Drosophila melanogaster: one gene and its partners. The protein of the gene in region 1 interacts with the protein of each later gene in a biochemical or structural test. Each region holds a gene or a part of one and is shown on either strand. Other genes may lie near its edges.

Region 1 (8,660 bases):
GCAAACATTAATTAAGAACTACAAATCGCGGACTATAAAAGCATTCCGAGCTCCTCCTATCGCCAGTTATATTATAGCCTTAAACATTCGAAACTTTAGATGTTCGGACACTTTAAGCTCGTCTATCCGGCTCCTATATCGGAGCCCATACAGTCTAGGGATTCGAATGCATACATGATGGAGACGCTGCGAAATTCGGGCTTGAATTTGAAGAACGATTTCGGTATAGGCCGCAAGATTTGGAGGGTGTTTTCGTTCACCTACAATATGGTGATACTTCCCGTAAGTTTCCCAATCAACTATGTGATACATCTGGCGGAGTTCCCGCCGGAGCTGCTGCTGCAATCCCTGCAACTGTGCCTCAACACTTGGTGCTTCGCTCTGAAGTTCTTCACTCTGATCGTCTATACGCACCGCTTGGAGCTGGCCAACAAGCACTTTGACGAATTGGATAAGTACTGCGTGAAGCCGGCGGAGAAGCGCAAGGTTCGCGACATGGTGGCCACTATTACAAGACTGTACCTGACCTTCGTCGTGGTCTACGTCCTCTACGCCACCTCCACGCTACTGGACGGACTACTGCACCACCGTGTTCCCTACAATACGTACTATCCGTTCATAAACTGGCGAGTCGATCGGACCCAGATGTACATCCAGAGTTTTCTGGAGTACTTCACCGTGGGTTATGCCATATATGTGGCCACCGCCACCGATTCCTACCCTGTGATTTACGTGGCAGCCCTGCGAACTCATATTCTCTTGCTCAAGGACCGTATCATTTACTTGGGCGATCCCAGCAACGAGGGTAGCAGCGACCCGAGCTACATGTTTAAATCGTTGGTGGATTGTATCAAGGCACACAGAACCATGCTAAAGTAAGTCAGTTTCATTATCCTACCGGAAATATCAACAACCGTGAATTATGTTTTCACTCAACGGATCTGAATTTATTCGGAAAACTGAATAAAAGTACAACTTTTATAAGAACTCGCTATTGATATTTCTGAATATATAAGAGTATATTTTTACATTCAGGATAAAATAAATGGTATATCAAACGATTCGACATAAAACTATTTTATTTCAAATAAATTAGCTTACATTTTTTAAAATATATGCATTAATTTAAATTTTCAATGTTAAAAACCCATCCCACTGTTTCCCATGCAGTTTTTGTGATGCCATTCAACCAATCATCTCTGGCACGATATTTGCCCAATTCATCATATGCGGATCGATCCTGGGCATAATTATGATCAACATGGTATTGTTCGCTGATCAATCGACCCGATTCGGCATAGTCATCTACGTTATGGCCGTCCTTCTGCAGACTTTTCCGCTTTGCTTCTACTGCAACGCCATCGTGGACGACTGCAAAGAACTGGCCCACGCACTTTTCCATTCCGCCTGGTGGGTGCAGGACAAGCGATACCAGCGGACTGTCATCCAGTTCCTGCAGAAACTGCAGCAGCCCATGACCTTCACCGCCATGAACATATTTAACATTAATTTGGCCACTAACATCAATGTAAGTCCACTGCTCTCGGTTAGAACGGGGAAGGAAGCAAAGTCCGAACTTCAATCCTTGCAGGTAGCCAAGTTCGCCTTCACCGTGTACGCCATCGCGAGCGGTATGAACCTGGACCAAAAGTTAAGCATTAAGGAATAGAAAGGAATACTCAATACAATTGACCGCACCAGAGGTAAACGTACATAGTTTTATGAACTTAACACTTTTTTGCTTCGTAGAATTATAATAATTGTATATGCATACAGCGAATTATGAATAAACATAATCTAGTTAAAACAAATATTGATCGAACAATGGGAAGTAAAGAAAATCGCTACATATGTATACCGTACAGCCCCTGCAGAAGTCTATTTGTAGGCTGGGAACCTGGAACCTTGTCCTCGGCAATTGGAATATGTTCCTACAGAGGCCGGATTCATCGGCTGTGATCTGGTCAATAGGTTCACTTGATCCCTGCGACTGGCCTTTTCTTTGAATGAGGTGCTGGGTGTCGGAAGATGGAGTTAGTGACGCGTTGGCGAGAATTGCACATTTTATGCGAAGCATGGAGTATTTTTAGCTCGCTTCTAGTTCGAATGTTTCGGCGGCAGTTTATTTCGGGCTAGGAGGAAGGGTAGCGGAGGGTCGACACGAATCTAAGTTTATTGATGATATTTTTAATGGCTGGCATAGATGAAACAGCGAAAGTTGTTCATTTAACAAAAACTTAGGCGAGATAACTATATGTGTCTTTGTGTCCCTCCATTCGCTCTAGATACTCCTTCTCGATCAGGATGTCTATGCACTTCTTGATCACGGGCACCTTAGGCTTAAAGCGCGTTGACAGCTGATTAAGCACCTCCGATATGAGATTGGTGTGGTTGAGTCGTTTGCGCATCTTCATGATGCGGACGATCGCCGCCTGGATCAGTAATTTTCGGTCCTCCTCTATGTGCTTATGTACAGTCTCCTGCTCCACTTTAAGTTCAGTCTTCAAAGGCTGGTTGATGTTAATTCGGCGCTTCTTGTTTTTGTAATCGAGGAACAGCTCCACCGTCGACTCTGGCGTCAGCGAGTTCTCATTGTCGCTGGAGGTCAGCACCTTCGCCTTGAGCAGTATTTGCAATACCTGAAGAAATTCTTACATAAGTCTCTATTAATTCTATCTATTGACACTACTCTCACCTGAATCAAGTTCTCCTGCTGCGTCTGTGTGTTGTCCTGCAGTTGCTGGACTGTAAAACTGAGCTGATCGTTAAACTGGAGCAGCACTGACATTTGGAAGGTGCTGGCCTGCAGGGTGTAGGTGGAGGAATTATTGCGGTTGACGTTCATTATCAGTTCGCCCTTGCACATCTGATACAACCAGTTGAGCTTGCGGCCAGAGTGGCGGGCGGCGTAGAACTCATTGAACTGTCGCACTGACCGCTCCAGCTCAGATGGTAGCAGGAAGTTGTTGCTCAGCTGGAAAGGCCAAGAGCCTGAGGACAGGACTTCGATGCCAAAGTCTATTTCCATGGTCAAGTTCTTTTCGGCCAGGTACTGCTTAAAGTACGAGTTCAAGTCCTTTGAGACGCCAATGTCCTGGAACATCCTCTGAAGCTTGACGGTGTATTCGTAACCACATGTCTGCTTCAGTTTGGAGATCATCATAGCCTCGGCGTCATCCGAAGCCGATGTGTGGTTAACCAAGCGCTTAGCAAGCATCTTGGAGTAATATTTTTGGAAGACGTCCTTATCCTCGATATACTTGAACACGACCATCACCTGGTTAAGATTGTCCTCGAGCTCCTTGTCCTCGGGATTTTTCGAGGATTTTTTTAATAACAGATCGCAGTACTTGGCCAGCAATTCGGGCGACTTGCTAGCACTGTTTGCGATCGTGACCACGTTCGAGTTTATGAACTTTCCACACGCCTTGTCCAAAGCGGCCACAAATCCGTTGTCATTGTTGAACGCCGTCAGAACGAGGGCGTTGTACTTCTTGTGCACGTCCAGGATGGTCTGTACGTACGTCTTGGGATCGTTGGCCGCGTCGGTAGTGCAACACTTGGCAATGGCCTCCGTGCCCTGGTGGAGTATATGGTTCTCAAGGATGGACTTGAGATCTGTCAGGTTTTTGGACGAGAGGGCGACCAAGGAGTACATCCGTTTCAGATCATCGTTTCGGTCTGCGTTGAGCAGATTCTGAAACTCGGTGTGAAAGATTTTCAGATGTTTTTCGATAAGAACCTGAAAGACATTGATTCGGTTAGTAGGCGGCTTTAAAGTTGGACACGGTAGGCAATCCCACCTCTTCGCATGTGGACTTCAGCACATCCGCTGTGGTCTCGTGCAGATAGGAAAGACCGTTCTTTGAATTAAAGCCGCGGACGCGCTGCGTCTCCTCCTCCAGCCTGTTTTCGACGTGCTTCAGATACTCGGTGACCGTGTTGGTGGACAGAAAGGCGTCCGACTCCTTCTCGTAGAAGGCTGATGTGTCTGCGATGAACTTGTTTTCAAAGTTTTGCTTGTAGACGGATAACTTCTGCTGCTCGGCATCGGTATCCTCCTCGTTAAAGCTGAGCTCCACGTAGCACTCGATAACGTCGCGGACCAGCGACCGGTTAATGAGCTTGCCTTGACGCTCCTCCTCAATGGACTTGAGCACTGCCTTGGTGACCGGCTCATTTAGCACTTGGAACAAATGTCCCTTCCAGGCGACGAGGGCCAGTCGGTAGATCTTGTAGATACCCTTCTGCCCCTCCTCGCACTCGCGCTTCACCCAGTTCCGATTCAGGTAGTTGCAGATGCCGTCCAGAACGGTACTGGAGAACTGATACGACTTCCACTGTTTGGTGTAGCGCGACAGGAGTACCTCCTCGCCGCTGATGGCCTTGAACTTGGTGAGCAGCTCGCTCAGGTATGACTTGAGAAATTGTTCCAGCCGGTCGTACAGCTTCTTGCCCACCAGCTGCGCTCCGCCTGTCTTTCCGCTGCTCCGTCCGCTTGGAGCCGCGCTCACGCTGGTGCAGTAGTCATAGACGTGAGTGTAGAAACGCATGTACTGGCTGCGGGTGAGGGACTTCTCGTGCTCAAACACCTGCATAATGCCCTCGACCAATTCGCTCCAGATATCGTCCAGGTTGACGAGTTTCTGTGTGGTCTGGGAATTGCCGGAGCGGTTCATTCTGGCGGCGGTGGGTTGTGGCAACGGCCTTCTGCCTTCTTCCACTGGAGGATGCTGTCCCTGCAGTGGCGCTGGGCTGGAGAAGGCAATGACCCTAGGTGGCGAATGCTGCGCGGGCGACAGGGGATTGCTGCTGCTTTCCAGGTGGCGTCGTTTCGCGGCTCTCGTCCTTGGAGTTGTGGCCGGAATCTTGGCGAATCGGTGTTCCAATTTTGGAATTTAAAGTGTCAATCTGCAGATGAGAGAATCGGTACAAAAACGGAATGGGATTGGGAATGTAGTAGGCCTCGCCACGTTAAAAGCGACGACCCGAAGGTCGCCTATTATGATCCAATGTCACAGCAATAAAAGAGAGGCTTGCGGAATACACACACACACACACATGCACGCACAAGCTGTAATGCAATGCGCGGTGGTCGGACATGCCCTGCAATGTAGGGTATTGGCCAATCGCATGGCAGGTGAAGCCCCACCACCGCCCCCGCTATCGTTAGATCGTGTTCGAAAACCCAACTTCCTGGTTAAATAAACACTCGCATGCACACATATGCAGTCGCCCTCGCCTTCACACACACACCCGCACCCACACAAAGGCACATAAAGCCAAGAGAAAAGATAGCGGACATAACCATTTCACAACTAAATTGTTAACATTTTTTTCGATTTTTCACATAGCTCCCTCCAAACGAAATTTATTTTCCTGGTAAATTGAGCCGTGCGACTGAGTTTTCTTTTCGTGACGTCGTGATGGATTTGATTTCCCCTTGGAGCACACACACTTTTTCTCTTTTGTTCGCCATTTTCAAAGCACGAAATCCCGTCTCTTTGCATTTCCCTCATTTTGCTTTATATTACCTGTTGCCAGACGCTGCTAAAATTAAAACTAAAACTAAATTAAAATTGTGTTTCACTGCTTTGCTTATAATTAAATTAATTTTTTTTTTCTGTGAAAATTGCTAACTTTCGTTTATTCCTAACTATTAAAATGTGTGACCGTTCGGCCATTGCGCTGCAAGGCCCTCGACGGTGGTATCGCTTAAGACCAGCTATCGTTGGCGATCTATTTATTGGGCGCCACTATTGGTGGCGATCTCATTTTTCAGGGAATTCTTTACACGGAAAGCAGTTATATTATAGTTTATAATATCAAATATCGCTGTTAGGCTCTTCAAAGCGTGATGTAAAATATCGGCAACGCGGTTCGTATCTTAGATTTTACAAATCCGTTAGCGGTTACAGAAACCTTCTTATAGATGTCATTTTCCTGGGCACACTTCCTGGAACTTGAGAACAATCTATACTTTATATAAAACGATTGGTCTTAGCACTTGCATAATAAAACCCTTTTCAAATAATTAGGGTATGCTTATATAGTCTTATACAGGTTCACCCTAATGCCCGTACGAAACACAACTCCTCCAGGACTCAAACCAATGTGACCGTGTATAGAAGGCATACGCATTTACTTCAATTTCGATTCGTTTGCTTTGACATGTGCGGCAACTCTGACGCCAAGCAAAACAAAAACAGTGCAGCAAAGAAATTTAAAAGGTCATTGTTTATGCTTAGAAGCGGCTATATTTAGTAATTTTGATAGTTGGATACGAAAAGATGTCCTGTCGCTGCTTCTGCTTAGTGGCTGCAGCACTGCTGCTGCTGTTCTTCCACCAGCAATCCTGTGACGCAGCCACCCAGACGCCCCAAAAGACGGTGGTAATTGCGGAGCAGAGTGCGCCGGCTGCTGAGGTGGAGGCCAAAAAGCCAGTCGTGAAGAAATCGCAAGCAGAGAATCCTCCGGCAGGACCAAAGGATTCTATGGTGGTCGTAGACGATGGCGGACCTGCTCCGGTTGCTCCAGGTGCTTCGGTTGCCACACAAGTTTCACCAGGAGATGCCAAGGCACCGGAAATGGTGCAGCCTCCGGGAGGTCTTCCCGTGGATGATGTTCATGTTGAACGCTCTCCCATGTCCCCCGATGTGGACTTTCCGGGCCAGGCTGTTGTCTACATCCTCGTGGGAATCACCAGTACTGCAATACTGCTGCTTATTATGAGGGTTTATAGGTGAGTTAATGAAGGACATATCCTAGAGCTCTAGACTAGAGTCCAGAAAAGCATGAAAGGTTATTTCAAAGTCTTCCTTATTATTTTGTAATGCAAAGGTAAAACAGCAAAGAATAGATTTTTAAGGATTTCAAAAGTTTACAGCGATCCTTTATCGTGCCTTGAAATTAAAATTTCCAGTAAATATTGTTAGAATACTAATTTAAAACTAAGCGTAATGTTTAAATATGTAGCTTTAAATATTCTTATCGGTGGACTATATGCAAAACAGACTACCTATATATACTGAATTTTACTTTATACATACATACCTACATTATTAAGTTATTATACTAGCAATTTTTGGTGATAAGACTAATCGAATCGCAAATCATTGCAGGCTCCGACTTTCCCGGGCGGAGCGCAAGTACGGCGTGCAGGGCGACCGCGCCAACCAGGAGCTGACACCACTGCCCATGGCCATCGAGGACGTGAATAGTGACGAAGAGGACCACACCCTGTTCGAGGTCAATCGCCAGAACATACGCATATTATGAAATAGCAGACACATGCACACGCCAAAGATCCGTTTGGTCGCACCGCCATTTCCGACACTTCTCATCAGAACTTGCCTTGTTTCGTAGCTATTTAATGCTTTGTAGATTTGAGCTGTAGCTGCCAGCCAATAGCCGACTAAGCCCACTAATAACTAAGTTCTCTGCATTTCTCCTACTCGCAGTTGGTTCAGGTTTAACGAATCAAAAAGGAAAACAAAACCACTTGTGATAACGATTACGATGATATGTATGCAAGGCATTAAAAATCTCATAAATACCAATGCTTTCAAATCGCCTCTGCGTCGATGTTCCATATAAATAAATGTTATATTACATGTACTCGCTTCTCTCTTTATTCTTCACACTTTCACAGGACGAATCTAGCTATAATTGGTTACAAACGTAGACTTAATACAGGTTAATGGGCTTATGGATAGCTGTGACAAAGGATATACATAGGCTGGATACAGGCAGTATACGCGTACGCACGGAAACAAATGCACTAACTTGTACTTATTAACTAGGATCACATAAATAATTTATTAACAATACTGCGACTGCGGCTGTGGCTGTGGCGGCCCTGCCCTGCCAAGAAATACCACAGGAGCTTACGACTACCGCTAACACTAAACTTGAGCTTCGCTAACGTTTTACATTTGTAGTTGGCACTGTAGTTTGTAATATTCCGCCGAGCCATTTTCCATTCTCCCGACCTACCAGAGTCGGATCTAGGAGCTAACTGGTGTGGCTACATAGCCAACGGCGTGGGTCGGCGATCGGCATCCCCGATGGGAATTCCCGAAATCAAATCATGCTGCCAAACATCCGTTTGCCGCGCGTCAGAACCAGGCTGACCACCATCACAGTCAGCAGGAAAAAGACCAGGCTGAGGAACGTGGTGATGAAGCGACATCTTTGGCGGAACTTCTTCTCCTTCTCCATTTTCAGACGCAGCTGTTCCGCCCGCGGCAGGTCGAGCGTGAAGTCCGATTCGGGTCGCGAGGATGGCTGCGAATAGTAAGATGTCATCTTAAGTTGTTTTTCAATATCCAGGTAAAATTTCAATTCACTCATTTTGTAGGGTAGCTTAAGAATAGATTGGAAGCATTTATAAAATTTCGGATATGGACGTAGCTAGCTTAGTTAGTGATTGTTAATATCAGTAAACTTCGGTATTTCAAAAAAATATATACATTTAAAGAAAATATATATATATTGCGATTTTATTATTTAACAATTAAAGAGAAAATCACCACATTTTACTGCACATATCTGCACCCTGCCACCAAAATAGGCACCGAGGGGCAGTTCGATGTGGAGAGTTACCACTGTAAATGCCACTTGGGCCCGCAATTAAGTTAATTAATATTTGATGATATAAG
Region 2 (8,911 bases), on another chromosome or scaffold:
TTAGCTGAAACACATCAGAAATATGAGTTTGTACAAAAGTTGAATTCAACTTTGTAGCTTCCCTTGCCTTGGATTCCACAATATATTTGGTTAGCTAAACAATATTAGCATTCATAAAATACAAATGAACTTTTAAGTTAAAATATTATATTTATTTTATTGGATTTAGTCTTATTTGTGTAGCAGCTGTTTTAAAAATCACATTTTCAAAGATTTTTAAATTAATTTTCATAATTTGGAAGTGTTTGTGGGAAGTGTAATAATTTCCGCTTGTTTTTCATCATGGAGATCATATGGTATGCCAATTAAATAAATATTGATCGTCGTTAAAGTTGAAATTATACGATTTATCTAAAAAAAGGGTTAATTTCGATCGTGCTTATTAATTTTTCCAATTAATCATCAATGGTAGCCGAGTTAAGGGCACTGCCGCCCAGCTGATTATGTGCTATCATAAGGATATCCTTCTTCTCCTTCGGAAAGCGCAATTCACGCCCAGCCATGCGAAAGGTCTCCAGCTCCCTCTCGGCGAGCACCAACTCCCTGCGAATAACGCCTGGATTATCGTGCTCCCTGGCAATCCAATCCAATGCCATCTGCGATCGCATCTCGTCGTCCAGGCTCCGGTTCGAATAATGAGCCACCACTTCCTGCCTGGAGCAGTGGCGTTCGCGCATTGCTTTCAGCGATCCGTTCCAGTGAAGCAGTTGGAACACGGTCATAAGCTCCTGGAACTCCAGCATGGTTCTTCCCTTGTTCGCCTCCAGCATGAATCTAAACTCAGAAAAATGTTTATTAATTCATAATACTTAGAAAGATAGGGTTTCAATAGCAAGTGCATATATTATGGTTTATGGAACCCACCTGAATGCTCCGATGCCCGATTCTGTGCCCTCGTTGATTTGCGATGTGCCCTTGAAGGAAGTGCGAGCATCCTGAACCGCCTTTTGAATGAACTCATCGCTGATTCGACGCGATGGATGCTCATTAAAGACGGAATTCATTAGGGCGATCTTGGCCGAACTGCGACGAGCCTCTGCCTTGGTGGGACAGTTCTAAAATGTAGTAAATGTGTTACAAAACACTGCGTCAACACTTTGCTAATAACGTAGTTACTTGAAAACTTCCAAAGCAGCTTCCTCCAGGAAGTGTTACGAAGCAAATGTATGGCTGGCTATTAGACGGAATCGATTCGTAAATCACAAGAGCTCCATTTTTCAATTCAGCTCCACGAGACTGCTTCATTTGCCAAAACTCTTGTAGGGCTTCAACGACATTTACTGAACGATATGCGAATTATGCGACTGGTTTATACTAATAGATAAAAAAAAAAACAAACACAAATCAAACTCACCTCTATAATCTCTATCCTCGTAAAATCCAGTTACGGTTGGTAAAACCCAAAAAGGTTCTTCGGGATAGACCATTTTTAAGATTATTCAATATTGTGTTGAACAAAGAATGGTTTCGGGTTTCGTTTTCAGCACAAATAAAACCGCATATCATTCAGTGGCTGCAGAAATTAACATCTAATTAATTTATTGGCTACAAATACTTAGTACATGTGTTAATTTAATTTTTTGTTCACTAAAAGTCCATTGAAGTGTCGGTAATTAGTTTCGATCTTGATTTCATCAGACAGGAAATATTATACATTAACAGCATATGTTTACATACATACAAGAGATGTATTGTTGCACTGGTGACACTGCCACGTCTTTAAACATATGTACATCGCAACATCCCTCGGCAATTACGAGTTTGTCGCCTAAGTCTTTCGATTCGGTGTGGTCGGAAAGTTTGTTAAATGCGTATGTATTTTGTACCAATTGCCGTATTAGGTCATAATTTTAACACAAACACAATTATTAGTGAACAATTGCACATCTTAAGTGAGTCTTTTTATGTTCATTTGCACGAGTATATGTTTATTTGTTAGATTTATACCTCTTTTGCATTTACATTTCGTTTTATACACTCATATTGTTAATTTTCACTTTTATTTTATCCAGGAGAACGGACCACTAAGGTCACCAGCGAGACGAGAAACCTTTCTGCAGCAATGTAAAAAAAACTGGATACATTACTGTGCCGCAGTGTTGCCAACTGTTGGCCACCAGAAAAAAGCCAGACGTCATTTAGCGGGAAAAGGCTAACAAGATGCAAACAAAAGCTAGCTAGCTGGGAAAATATTTTGGTTTACTGAACAAAAATGTTTAATTCCCAAATAAATATAAACTTTTCATATTAGGCAAACACAGAGGAAACCCTAAAAATAGATTAGAATTATTCCACCAAATATCAAATTCAATATAAACGGAGTGAATATACTTAAGCCCCGCGAATGCTGATAAATATCAAGAGACAAAAGGTGGAAGCAATAAACTCTGTTTACATTCACAACTGAACTCCAAAGCTCCATAAATTAATCTCCCAGTTAGTTTTTATAGTTGCTTTAATTCAAAATCACTTCCAAACGAGGTACATCGTACACATATAATTGCCTGTTGGAGGCTTAATGTCGGTTCTTAAACTACTAAATATATTGTAGCGTAAAAAAAATATTTTTCACAAATGTGATTCGAGACAACAAACTTGGATAGCTAATGGTATAACAGTTTCTCTTAGCATAACATTAATAAATAATTAATTAGTAGTACAAAGATACCTAGCTAAAAAATATTAAACTACAATTAATCATAGAACTTTTAAACAAGGATCTAAAATAGAACATCAATGCCTTCCAAGTTAGGCAATGGGGGATATAAATTTAATAAGTATTCAGGCTCTGCAGGCTCCATGTTTTCTGTGTTGTATATGTATGGCAGGTCAGTAAAATCTAGGGGCGGAAGGCATCTGTTTTCCAAATTATTTTCCAATGTGCGCAGATCAAGATAAAGTTGATCCAATAGTCCTTCATAGCCCTCTTGATTTTCCGACCAGGTCTCTGTGACCGCTGTAATAATACAACTTATAGTACAATTTTCAAGGGGAGTTGTTTAATATGAGCGGTACTTACGCTTGCTGCAGTTCTTCAAACATTTCTCGTTCGGAAAGTCAGTGTAGTTGAACAAATTGACGACTCTGTATTCGCAATTCAATACGTAGGCGCCCAAAAAGCAGCTATTTGTTTTATACCTAACTTCCTCGCGATCCCTGCTGACCACATTTTGTTTGGGGGCCTTTCGCAGCGAAAGCTTGGCAATACTACCCTCGAGTTTCAGAGAAGTGCTTTTGAACGGGGTTATTCCAGGAGTTTGGTGCATCACATTGTCAAGGTTACCAAGAGGTTTCTTCAATACGGAATTTGTAGGAACTCCATTTTTAATGGGATTCGCTGGCACTGCAATGATAAATGGCTATGTAATTACTAACACGAACGGGAGTCGAACCTAATTCAACTTACAATTAATGCCGGTGTTTTCCTTGTTTAAAATCTGATCCATTTTGTTAGCATTTATTGGTGTTAAAAAGGTATTTTGATTGAATTCTAGCAGTGAGCTGCGGTTTAGTTTAAAATAATTCCTGAAAACGAGCGGCACTTTTCTAGAGATGGGAGACTCTTAGTGCCACATAGCTGATATATCGTTCATCTGAAACGATGGTAATGACACAAAGTATTTTACTAGTAAATAAATTGGGAATTAATATTTGATAATATATATATTTATATTTTGATTGTCATGTATTAACTCAAAAATAAAATAACCTAAATATAAAAATTTACTAGTACATAAAATCTTGTTCCAAAATATTTCTCCACCGTATTTTATACCACGAAAATGTACCAAAACCATTATCGGCATCCAAAAGGCATTAGGGATTATAAAGTGGGTTTTTTAGTTTTTCAAAGTGGGCCCACTTAAGCAGCCTTTATAACAAAATTGAGTGAATATAAAACTTGGAGATTCAATACCGGAAAAATTTCAGTAAATTTTCAAGTTTTAGAACACCAAAAATAGGGCAGCCCAATACAAATACACAATATTTCACTTATCAGTTAATTGCTATCGATCGAACGTTTCAAAGCCTTCGCTATGGCGTCACATCAGTACCACCAAATTGCCAATTTGCTGGAAAAAGTATGTATAGAATTTCATTTTTGCAACATAACGAAATTCTAATTCCGCTCTCTCGTCTGCTGCAGATGACGTCGACGGACAAGGACTTCCGTTTCATGGCGACAAACGATCTGATGACGGAGCTACAGAAGGATAGCATCATCCTGGACGACGAGTCCGAGAAAAAGGTGGTGCGAATGGTGCTCAAGCTGCTGGAAGACAAGAACGGCGAAGTTCAGAACCTGGCTGTCAAGTGCCTGGGTCCCCTGGTCAACAAGGTGAAGGAGATCCAGGTGGAGACCATCGTGGACTCGCTGTGCGCCAACATGATGTCCAACACGGAGCAGCTGCGCGACATATCGAGTATTGGCCTAAAGACAGTGATTGCCGAGCTGCCGCAGTCCTCAAACTCCCTGGCCCCAAATGTCTGTCAAAGGATCACCGGCAAACTGAGCACAGCAATTGAGAAGGTGCGTTATATTGCTATTCCCTAGGCACCCAAACGTTTAATCCGTTGTTCCTTAATAGGAGGACGTCTCTGTGAAACTGGAGTCGCTGGACATTCTGGCCGATCTGCTCTCTCGCTTCGGGGAGTTCCTCGTTCCCTTCCACAGCACCATTCTGAAAGCTCTGATGCCCCAGTTGGCCTCATCGCGCCAGGCTGTTCGCAAGCGTACCATCGTGGCCCTGTCATTTCTGCTGATCCAGGCCAATAGCAACGCCTACAACGGTGTCATCGATCATCTGCTCGATGGCCTAGAGAACCCACCAAATCCAGCTGCCATTCGAACTTACATTCAGTGCCTGGCTTCGATATGGTAAGTTCCAATTCCTGAAATTGTTATATATTTTATGCCATATGATCTTTAGATGCAATTTTATTTAACTTTACTCTTTAGTCGACAGGCTGGCCATCGACTTTGCAATCACATTGATCGCTCCATGCTCCTGCTGAGCCAGTACAGCCAGCGGGATGACGATGAGCTGCGCGAGTTTTGTCTGCAGGCCTGCGAAGCTTTCGTCATGCGCTGCCCAGATGCCATAAACCCGCATATTCCCATGGTAAGGAGTACACATGCTTTATGTTCTCATTCACGTTTAATAGCTTATGGGTTTTGTTAGATCCTGGAGCTGTGCCTCAACTATATCACCTACGATCCAAACTACAACTACGAGACGGATGATGGCGACACTGGCAATGCCATGGACACGGAGGATGATGAGTACGTCGATAGTGAGGAGTACAGTGACGACGACGACATGAGCTGGAAGGTTCGTCGCGCTGCAGCCAAGTGTCTGGAGGTCTTGATATCCACACGGCAGGAGCTCGTCGAGGACTTCTATCGCAGCCTGAGTCCGGCTTTGATTGCGCGCTTCAAGGAGCGTGAGGAGAATGTTAAGTCCGACATATTTCACGCCTATGTGGCCCTGCTAAAGAACACACGCCTCACCGACGACGTGGCCAACGACCACGACTCAATGGATCAGGTATCGGGTCCGACCTCGCTGTTAATTGAGCAGCTGCCACTCATTGTGAAAGCCATACAGCCGTTAATGAGGGAAAAATCGATGAAAACGCGTCAAGACTGCTTCCTCTTGCTGCGCGAGCTGTTGAATTCGCTACCAGGTGCCCTGGGACCCTACTTGGACAGCATTGTGCCAGGCATAAGCTATTCGCTGAATGACAAAAGCTCTACCAGCAACATGAAGATCGAATCTCTGGGATTCCTTTACTCGCTGCTCCAAGGACATCCGCCGCATGTCTTTCATCCACATATTCCCCTACTGGTGCCCCTCGTAGTGACTTCGGTCTTCGATCCTTTCTATAAGATTGCCACCGAGGCGCTTTTGGTGCTGCAGCAGTTGGTAAAGGTGATTCGTCCATTAGAACCGAATGCGGCCAAGTCCGACTTTGATGCCCCATCGTTTGTGGGTCAGGTTTACTCGTGCACATTGCAGAAACTGAAAGTGACGGATGTCGACCAGGAGGTAAAGGAGCGAGCCATAGCCTGCATGGGGCAGATTATCGCCAACATGGGCGACATGCTGCAGAATGAGCTGGCGGTTTGCCTGCCAATCTTCATGGAGCGCCTAAAGAACGAAGTAACCCGTTTGAGCAGCGTGAAGGCGTTGACCCTGATCGCAGCTTCGTCCCTGCGCATAGATCTGACACCCATCCTGCACGACGTGTTGCCCGCATTGGGCACATTCCTGCGTAAGAACCACCGCGCCCTCAAGCTGCACTCCCTCGATCTGATCAACAAGATCGTCATCAACTATTCGAGCAACTTCGAGGCGAACCTTCTGCAGACAGCCATAGTTGAGATCCCACCGCTTATATCGGATTCGGATTTGCACGTAGCCCAGTACTCTCTGACGCTTTTGAGCACCGTAGCTCGCAGGCAGCCCCAAGCTCTGGTCGGCATACATGAGCAGTTCTTGCGCTCCGTGCTCATTTTGGTTCGATCTCCTTTGCTGCAGGTGGGTGAATTTTAATTAACAGCTGAGTAATTAGCAAAACTAATAACTGATTTCTTTGCTACAGGGATCCGCATTGAATTGCACGTTGGAGCTGTTCCAGGCCTTGGTGCAAACACAGCTGTCTGGCCTGGACTATCATTCGCTCGTTTCGAAGCTAATGGCACCAGTTCTGGGTGGCAACGGTGACGTCAAATCCAGAGCCACTGCCGGCGCTCCCAGTGAGGTGGTGCAGCTGCACAAGCAGGCCTATCACTCATCGGCCAAGTGCATTGCTGCCTTAACACAGCAGTGTCCCCAGGTGGCGACCCCATTGGCCACAAAGCTGATAACGGATCTGCAGAAGCGTAACGATACGGAAATCATATTCTGTTTGCTCACCATCGGTGAGATTGGCAGGCACTTTGATCTGAGCTCCATACAGGTGCTGCCGCAGACAATTATTGAATGCTTTGGGGCCACCTCGGAGGATGTAAAGGCTGCAGCCTCGCATGCTCTCGGCGCTGTGTCCGTGGGCAGCCTGCAGACATACCTGCCTCTGATTCTGCACGAGATTGAGGTGCAGCCGAAGAGACAGTATTTGCTGCTACATTCGCTTAAGGAGGTCATTTCATCGCTATCGGTATCGCCCAGCGGACTCGCCCAGCTCCTACCCTCGGTGCCATCCATTTGGGATCAGCTCTTCAAGCATTGCGAGTGTTCGGAGGAGGGATCACGCAACGTGGTGGCCGAGTGCCTGGGCAAACTGGTGCTGGTCAATCCCGACGAGCTGCTGCCGCAACTGCAGCAGGCATTGCGTTCCGAAAGCGCCACCATGCGCACCGTTGTTGTCTCCTCAGTAAAGTTTACCATCTCCGATCAGCCGCAGCCCATTGATGTTCTGCTCAAGCAGAACATTGGCGAGTTTCTATTTGCCCTGCGAGATCCGGAGCCCCAAGTGAGACGCGTCGCACTAGTAGCCTTCAATTCGGCGGTACACAACAAGCCCAGTTTGGTGCGCGATTTGCTGCCCACCCTTTTGCCTTGGCTCTACTCGGAGACGAAGGTGAAGAGCGAACTGATTAGGGAGGTGGAGATGGGTCCCTTCAAGCACACCGTCGACGACGGTCTCGACATTCGCAAAGCGGCATTTGAATGCATGTACACACTTCTCGAGCAGGGCTTGGATCGTGTGGATGTCATGCAGTTCCTGGACCATGTCCAGGCTGGTCTGTGCGACCACTACGACATCAAGATGCTGACGTACCTGATGACGGCACGTCTGGCCATCTTGTGCCCGGATAAGGTTCTGCTAAGTGAGTAGTACCAAAGCCTTGATTACTTGAGATCTCTTATTCACTTTGCTCAATTCTTTCAGGACTCGATCAATTTATACAGCAACTACGTGATACGTGCACCCACAAGGTGAAGGCCAACTCTGTGAAACAGGAGTACGAAAAGCAGGACGAACTCAAGCGTTCTGCCCTTCGTGCAGTCTCGGCCCTTTCGCAAATACCCAAAGCAAGTAAGTAAAAATATTGAAGAACATTGTATCTGAAAATAAACTAATTGAAATTCCTCTTCAATAGACAAAAATCAGCAGTTAGTGGATTTCCTCAAGTCGATCAAAGAAACACCGGAATTAAACAAGATCTTCGAGTACATACAGAAGGATTCCATCACCGGTAGCTCAGATATTATAGTAATGGATCAGAGTTAAAAGGGAAACTTGGTTTCAAATTCCTTTACTTAATTAAGAATATGCGTTTGCGCACAAACAAGTATCTCTTTTTCTGATATAGCTTTTAAATTTTCTAATAAGAAATAAATGCAGATCGACTTGAAAGAGTTAATTAGTAAACAGTAAACCACTCCCAAAAACTACCGACAACCAAAAACAAACAAATGCCGTATTGAGTACTGTGTTTATGAATTTTACTAAAAGTTTATTGATTGGTTTAGCATTTTAACGAGGGAGAATGATGGATGATAGGATCCATTTGCTCTTCCTGAAAGAGACTAGCTCTTCAATCAGATAACGATAATTCCAGTTCATCCTCTCTTAACTAAGAGCAACTGATTACGTAAAGGCTTTTAAACATTAATGATGCAATATTAATAATGCTCAATCATGAGAAAGTCGACATGGTGTATTTGGAAAGTGTATATTCTGTGGAAAACTGAATTATTCAAATTGTTTCGAACTTATGATTGAATTTTGGTCTATAGGAAGGTGGAAATTTAGGCTGCCTGCTTGCTTCTCTTCTTCTCGCACTCCTCGGGCACGGCTTTGCCGGAGGTGACGCCGCCGTCCGACGCGGGTCCCGTTTCGGAAACAGTCTCTGGAGGATGTTCAAGCACGTGGTCAATGATGCCCAGCACTTTTGCCTCCT
Region 3 (5,822 bases), 5.9 Mb from region 1:
GGCGAAACATTCCCGTTTCCAAATCCAAATCCGGAAATGTTTAATATACTTTTGGTTACTAACATGCCTCCAATAATTTGCCATCAAGAATATAAAAAAGTAAGTTCACTAAACAGATTCAAAAATATTTGAACTTGAATAAAAACTTGTTATATTCTTTTATCGTTTATTTATATATTTGTTCATTGTTCTTATTGCTTTTCAAATGCATATTTTAGTTTATTTCTCTGGTGAGTATACTTATGTTAGTACGATAATAACGTGCTTTAGTTTATAATCGAACGCATAAATTATAAAGAAAAGCTTATGGTTGGGTTGGGTACAAATACAGCTCGGGGTTGGCTGGCCGGAAACAAAAAACTTGCAAAATACTTGAAGTAAACTTAAGTAACACGTCAAATGCTTTCCAACAAGGAAAGTCTCGTTATTTCTTGTGCGCAGATGCCGGCGGTGTGCCGTAAAACTTCCGCTTCTTAATGGTGCCTCCTTTGAAGGGAGTTGCTGTGAAGGAGAGATAATTAGAATAATTAAAAAAATTAGCTCATAAATAACTCACCATATAGCGAGAGTAAGTCATTTTTGTTGCTTGGCACCCGCTTGATAACTGTGGCCGGTGTTCTTGTCGGATCTATAACGATATATTGCTCCCAGAACGAAACGGGCAGCTCAAGAAGTGCCTTCATCACCTGCTTCTGGGTGAAAACTTCCGTGTAGATCGCATGCTGGTCGGGATCTGGTGTGGAGTAGCCCACAATGGTGGGGCCAAAGATGAGCGAGATGTTATCGATCGGCATTAGCACGACTGGGCACTGGGCAATTCGTTGGAAGTGCAGTATGAGGAAGGCCAGCGTATCCCTATTGGCCTGTGGTAGCTGCTTCACCGACTTAACCAACATATCCTGGGCAGTTTTGGTGTCAGGATTTTGGACTGCGTTTGCGAAATCCTTCCATTGGCTGGTGGGAATGAGAGGCTCTGTTAGGGACCTCAGGAAATCCTTGACACAACAGCACAGCACATAGATATCCGTGTTGCCCAAATGTGGAGTGGCCTTGCCTCGCAGGAACTGCTCCTTGAGGGCCTTGTACTCCCGCTCCGACGAGGACAATCGATAGAGGCCAACCTCGGTCAGGCCGCGGGCTTCAATCTCATTTACGCAGTGCACAATCAGTGCCGGGATCATGGGTGCAATAGATGGTGCAAAGTCCGTTACATAGCCAGTCATGGTCTTCGTCGTCGGTGTTCCCGTTTGCGGCACACAGCTAACGGTGAGCAGATACCGACAATCGATGTGACAGCGCACCGGGCAATCCCGACATCTCAGCCCAACGGCTCCAAACCGTATGCTGAAGAGTATAAAAAGTATTTAATTAATAAAAAAAACCTACTTGGAGCAGAACTTCTAGTAAGCTTACCGTTTCTGACACTGAACGCAATTGTCGCCACGCAAGAATGTCTTCTGACTGAAGGTGTGGTTCCTCATCAGTGGACGGTGCTGCAGTGGCGTTCCGGATTCAGCGACAACGTGAGGTGCCATAGCATTTACCGGCGTCAGCGGCGGTGCGGTGGCCTCTTTAAGCACCGATCGCCGTGGCGTCGAGGATAGTCCGTCGCCGATCCTCTCGTTGCCGGCAATTACAGGCAGCGACTCAATGGTCGACTCTGCACGAATCACGCCCTGTCCATCCTGGGGTATGGTGACCTTGGTGGTGGCACAAAAGCGCTCAGCGCCTTGACCCACGTCCACCGTGTGTTGCTCCACTCCGATTCCGACGCTAGAGCGCCGCGATTTGCCAGTGGTTGGTGTAGTCCCGGACATACTGCCATTCAGTCCAGTGCTCAATCGCGATCTCTTGTTGCCAACGCTAGGAATCTGGTTCTTGGGCAGCGAAGGACGATGCTCTCGCCAAGATTTTGATGTGCGCACATCGAGGAAGTCGTCCTCGGAGTGTGTAATAGACAAATCCGACAGCAACGATCCGGTGGAGTTGATGTCGCCATAGGACTTGTCCTCCCGCACGGCATTCAGGGACTTGCGCTTTCGCGACGAGGGCAGTGTGTGCAGAAAGGCCAGCTTGTCGCGGGTCTCGTTGTTCAGATTGCGCTCGTGTCGCAGCAGATCTGCCACAGCCATGATCTTGCTCTCCATGGCATCTCGTTCGTGTTCCGCCTGGCGGCGCGCCTTGATCTCCATGTCGATGATGCGGCGTGCGTGAAAGAGTTTGCCCTCCAGGTCGCCCATTTTGGTCAACGACTTGTCCAGCTCGTTTTGTATCCTGGCCGTCTCGGCCGCGTAGCCCGCGCACTTTTCGTGGTACTGCTCGAACATGCGCAAGAACCGCAGGAACTCTAAATGGAATACAAGCATCATGTAGGGCTTCATTTGCCTTGCGTGTTTTCAGTTTTACTCACCCTCCTCAGGAGTTCCATCGGTAAGCACTTGCATGCAGCGTCGCAGATCATCGAAGGACGCCAATGCGGAGAGCGCCATTTTTGCTTGTCTCGGTAGTTCTACGAATCGGTTTTCACTCGCAGGGACTGCCTGCACACTGGTTTCCTTGATTCAACTTCGAAATCTACTGAAAATCAGTAGTATTTACCCAAAAACGAGTGGCAAACGGAGCACGCTGCAAAAGACGCGCTGAATTTTTTCAAGTTCCGTTGTTTTCAAATTGACGCCATCTGCGCAGTGTGACCATTAATGGGTGGCTCGAAATAACAGTAGGGTAGTCATGCTAACAGAAAATATCGATCTGATCGTGTTAGAGATGATAGAGATTGTTTCAAGTTAACAATTCTTTCGGAATTAAATAAAAAATAATTTAATGTTATCCTATTAATACTTTTGAAATGATTATATTAATAATAATATAATTACAATATTTTTTTTTATTTACAATATGTCTTATATAAATTCTTATTCACATAAGCTACCATCACTAATATTTATTCCGACCCGAGTAGTGTTGCTAAACGAATCACAGTCTCGATTTTGTTTGAAAAATGTCTGTCCACTCACCCAATCCTGGCTTAATCCTCCAGAGCAAGCGTTTCAATGGACTGCGGAACATCCTGGAACGCGAAGGTCCCTTCTGCAAGGACGGTTTCGCGGCCTCGTCGGAAAACCTGGAGTTCTTGCAGACCAAGTGCCAGGTTCTGATCATCGGAGCCGGTGGCCTGGGCTGCGAACTGCTGAAGGATCTGGCTCTGATGGGCTTCGGCAACCTGCACGTCATCGACATGGACACCATCGAGCTGTCCAACCTGAATCGCCAGTTTCTGTTCCGTCGCACAGACATTGGCGCCTCCAAGGCGGAGTGTGCGGCTCGCTTCATCAACGCAAGAGTGCCTACTTGCCGGGTGACGCCGCATTTCAAGAAAATCCAGGACTTCGATGAGTCCTTCTATCAGCAGTTCCACCTGGTTGTCTGTGGCCTAGACTCCATTGTCGCCCGGCGTTGGATCAATGGCATGCTGCTATCAATGCTGCGATATGAGGAGGACGGCACCATAGATACCAGCTCCATAGTGCCCATGATTGATGGCGGCACCGAGGGCTTCAAGGGGAACGCACGCGTCATCCTGCCCGGTTTCACGGCCTGCATTGAGTGCACGCTGGACCTGTTCCCGCCGCAGGTCAACTATCCCCTATGCACCATAGCAAATACTCCCAGGCTTCCGGAGCATTGCATTGAGTACGTAAAGATCATACAGTGGGAGAAACAGAATCCGTTTGGAGTGCCCCTCGATGGGGACGATCCCCAGCACATTGGTTGGATCTACGAACGGGCACTGGAGCGGTCCAATGAGTTTAACATCACCGGAGTGACCTATCGCTTGGTCCAGGGCGTTGTCAAGCACATCATTCCAGCTGTGGCCAGTACCAATGCAGCCATTGCCGCCGCCTGTGCTTTGGAGGTCTTTAAGTTGGCCACCAGCTGCTATGACAGCATGGCAAACTACCTGAACTTCAACGACCTGGACGGAATCTATACCTACACCTACGAGGCCGAGAAGTCGGAAAACTGCTTGGCGTGCAGCAATACACCGCAGCCGTTGCCGATTGAGGATCCCAACACCACCACGCTGGAGGATGTGATAAAGCTATTGTGTGATTCCCCGCGTTTCCAGCTGAAAAGCCCAGCCTTGACCACTGTGATGAAGGACGGCAAGCGGCGGACTTTGTACATGTCCGGGGTAAAGAGCATTGAAGAGGCCACCCGAAAGAACCTTACTCAGAGCCTGGGCGAACTGGGTCTACACGATGGACAGCAGCTCACAGTCACCGATGCCACCTCGCCGTCCGCCATGACTCTGCAGCTGAAGTATCAGTCCAATGAGGTGGAGATGGTCTAAAGTGTATCACAGTAGATAACAATTTTAATACACAAGTCGTATATGTAAATAAACAGCAGGCTTAGCCTCGAGTTACGCATCTAAATGCTCATATCCAGTATGTACTTCTTGCCGGTGAATCCCTTGAAGCTCAAGGCAGCGGCCGCCGCGTCTTTGAACTTTGCCAAGGGCACCATCTCATGGTTGGGGGCCACGAACTTTCCCTGCTCCATCAGCTCGAAGATCTCCTTGAACATTTTCGAACGCTCTGGTGAACTGTAGTTCTCCTTGGACCAGCGAGTCATCCAGAAGCCTCTAAATGCAATGTCCTTGAAAATGAGGGGTCCAGTGGCCACTGTGACGGGTTCGCGGGACATTCCGCCGTAGGTGACCAGCACTCCGCCATTGTCTAGATGACGCGACACCTCCGTGGCGCTTTTTCCGCCCACACAGTTGAAGGCCAGACGGGGCTTTTTCAACTTGCCCGACTTGAAGATGTCACTGGTGCGAATTTCGGCCTCTGTTAGGACCTCGGTGGCTCCCAGGCACTGCAGCATCTGCTTCAATTCGGCAATTTCTGGGCGGTCGCGTACAATGCCAACGCTATTGATGCCCCAGGCTCGGCACAATTGGTGCACTGCCTGGCCGACGGCGCTATTGGCGCCGTTTTGGATGACCGTGTCACCCGGACAGAGCTGCACAAAGTCCTTTAGCATTCGGTAGGCAGTGGTGGGATTCACTGTCGAGGTGGCGGCCTCCGCCAAGCCAACCTTCTTGGACACGATCAATAGTTGATCCTCCTTGTAGACGGCATGGGTGGTCCAGGTGCCCAGGCCACTGGCCAAGGGAATGACGTGCTGTCCTGCCTCAAAGCCTTTGACTTTGTCGCCCACGCAGATGACCTCCGCCACACACTCATTGCCGCCAACGGCTGGAAACTTGGGCTTCACCGGGTATTTACCTGTAAAGGATTTATAATAATCATTATCAAAGTGACTTTAAACAAGCTAGGCTTCTTTAAAATTTAAAGCCACAACCTTGAGCATCGTTCAAAGTACAAAGATGTACTGATAACATTCGTTTAACTTTAAATGGATTACTTCTGATTATCCCATAACTGACTTTCAAGCAAGTGGGTATACTTAGAATACAAGTATCTCTGATCTTCAGTTCTTATCCAGTTGTTTCAGCAGAAGATTATCGTTATTAATTATGCAGTTCATGCCGGTTATGGCTATATTTCAGTTGTATCATGCATAATATATGTTTGTTTGTGATATATCCTAATGGCCAGCATACCCTGAATGGTGTTTATGTCCGCCGGGTTAATGGGAGCTGCCAGAATCTTCACCAGCACCTGGTTGTCCTTGGGATCGGGAAGTTTGTCCTCCACCAGTTGCAGAACCTCCTGTGGTTCGCCGTGCTGTGTGTACTTCAAGGACTTGGCCACCACCGACATTTGGCGGCTCCATTGGGCTGCGTTGATGCG

The links.
Region 2: the proteins of Cul1 (region 1) and Cand1 form a complex in vitro, tested with the Drosophila melanogaster proteins (one study listed by BioGRID).
Region 3: of the proteins of Cul1 (region 1) and Uba3, one has a biochemical effect on the other in vitro, tested with the Drosophila melanogaster proteins (one study listed by BioGRID).

The regions. Positions count from the first base shown.
Region 1 is NT_033778.4:7,913,983-7,922,642, reverse strand, and holds Cul1 (cullin 1), read right to left. Parts: upstream 5,690-8,660; 5' UTR 5,535-5,689; intron 5,466-5,534; exon of another isoform or gene 5,309-5,465; intron 4,912-5,308; 5' UTR 4,680-4,911; coding exon 3,804-4,679; intron 3,743-3,803; coding exon 2,696-3,742; intron 2,640-2,695; coding exon 2,238-2,639; 3' UTR 1,670-2,237; coding exon of another isoform or gene 1,592-1,669; 3' UTR 1,529-1,591; coding exon of another isoform or gene 1,171-1,528; 3' UTR 1,064-1,170; downstream 1-1,063. Other genes in the region: Or43b (odorant receptor 43b), read left to right, coding at 100-875, 1,171-1,528, 1,592-1,669; CG12159 (uncharacterized protein), read left to right, coding at 6,291-6,742, 7,122-7,278; CG30377 (uncharacterized protein), read right to left, coding at 8,083-8,286. UniProt on the Drosophila melanogaster protein: Core component of multiple SCF (SKP1-CUL1-F-box protein) E3 ubiquitin-protein ligase complexes which mediate the ubiquitination of proteins involved in cell cycle progression, signal transduction and transcription.
Region 2 is NT_033779.5:10,357,634-10,366,544, reverse strand, and holds Cand1 (Cullin-associated and neddylation-dissociated 1), read left to right. Parts: upstream 1-3,837; 5' UTR 3,838-4,037; coding exon 4,038-4,082; intron 4,083-4,147; coding exon 4,148-4,531; intron 4,532-4,589; coding exon 4,590-4,879; intron 4,880-4,960; coding exon 4,961-5,123; intron 5,124-5,183; coding exon 5,184-6,542; intron 6,543-6,606; coding exon 6,607-7,834; intron 7,835-7,896; coding exon 7,897-8,043; intron 8,044-8,107; coding exon 8,108-8,238; 3' UTR 8,239-8,411; downstream 8,412-8,911. Other genes in the region: lft (lowfat), read right to left, coding at 396-774, 865-1,055, 1,117-1,280, 1,355-1,427; pim (pimples), read right to left, coding at 2,721-2,956, 3,020-3,343, 3,407-3,446; ClpP (caseinolytic protease proteolytic subunit), read right to left, coding at 8,760-8,911. UniProt on the Drosophila melanogaster protein: Key assembly factor of SCF (SKP1-CUL1-F-box protein) E3 ubiquitin ligase complexes that promotes the exchange of the substrate-recognition F-box subunit in SCF complexes, thereby playing a key role in the cellular repertoire of SCF complexes.
Region 3 is NT_033778.4:13,855,997-13,861,818, forward strand, and holds Uba3 (Ubiquitin-like activating enzyme 3), read left to right. Parts: upstream 1-2,955; 5' UTR 2,956-3,001; coding exon 3,002-4,354; 3' UTR 4,355-4,434; downstream 4,435-5,822. Other genes in the region: tum (tumbleweed), read right to left, coding at 425-501, 557-1,344, 1,414-2,347, 2,411-2,489; CG16935 (uncharacterized protein), read right to left, coding at 4,435-5,294, 5,633-5,822. UniProt on the Drosophila melanogaster protein: Catalytic subunit of the dimeric Uba3-APP-BP1 E1 enzyme. E1 activates Nedd8 by first adenylating its C-terminal glycine residue with ATP, thereafter linking this residue to the side chain of the catalytic cysteine, yielding a Nedd8-Uba3 thioester and free AMP.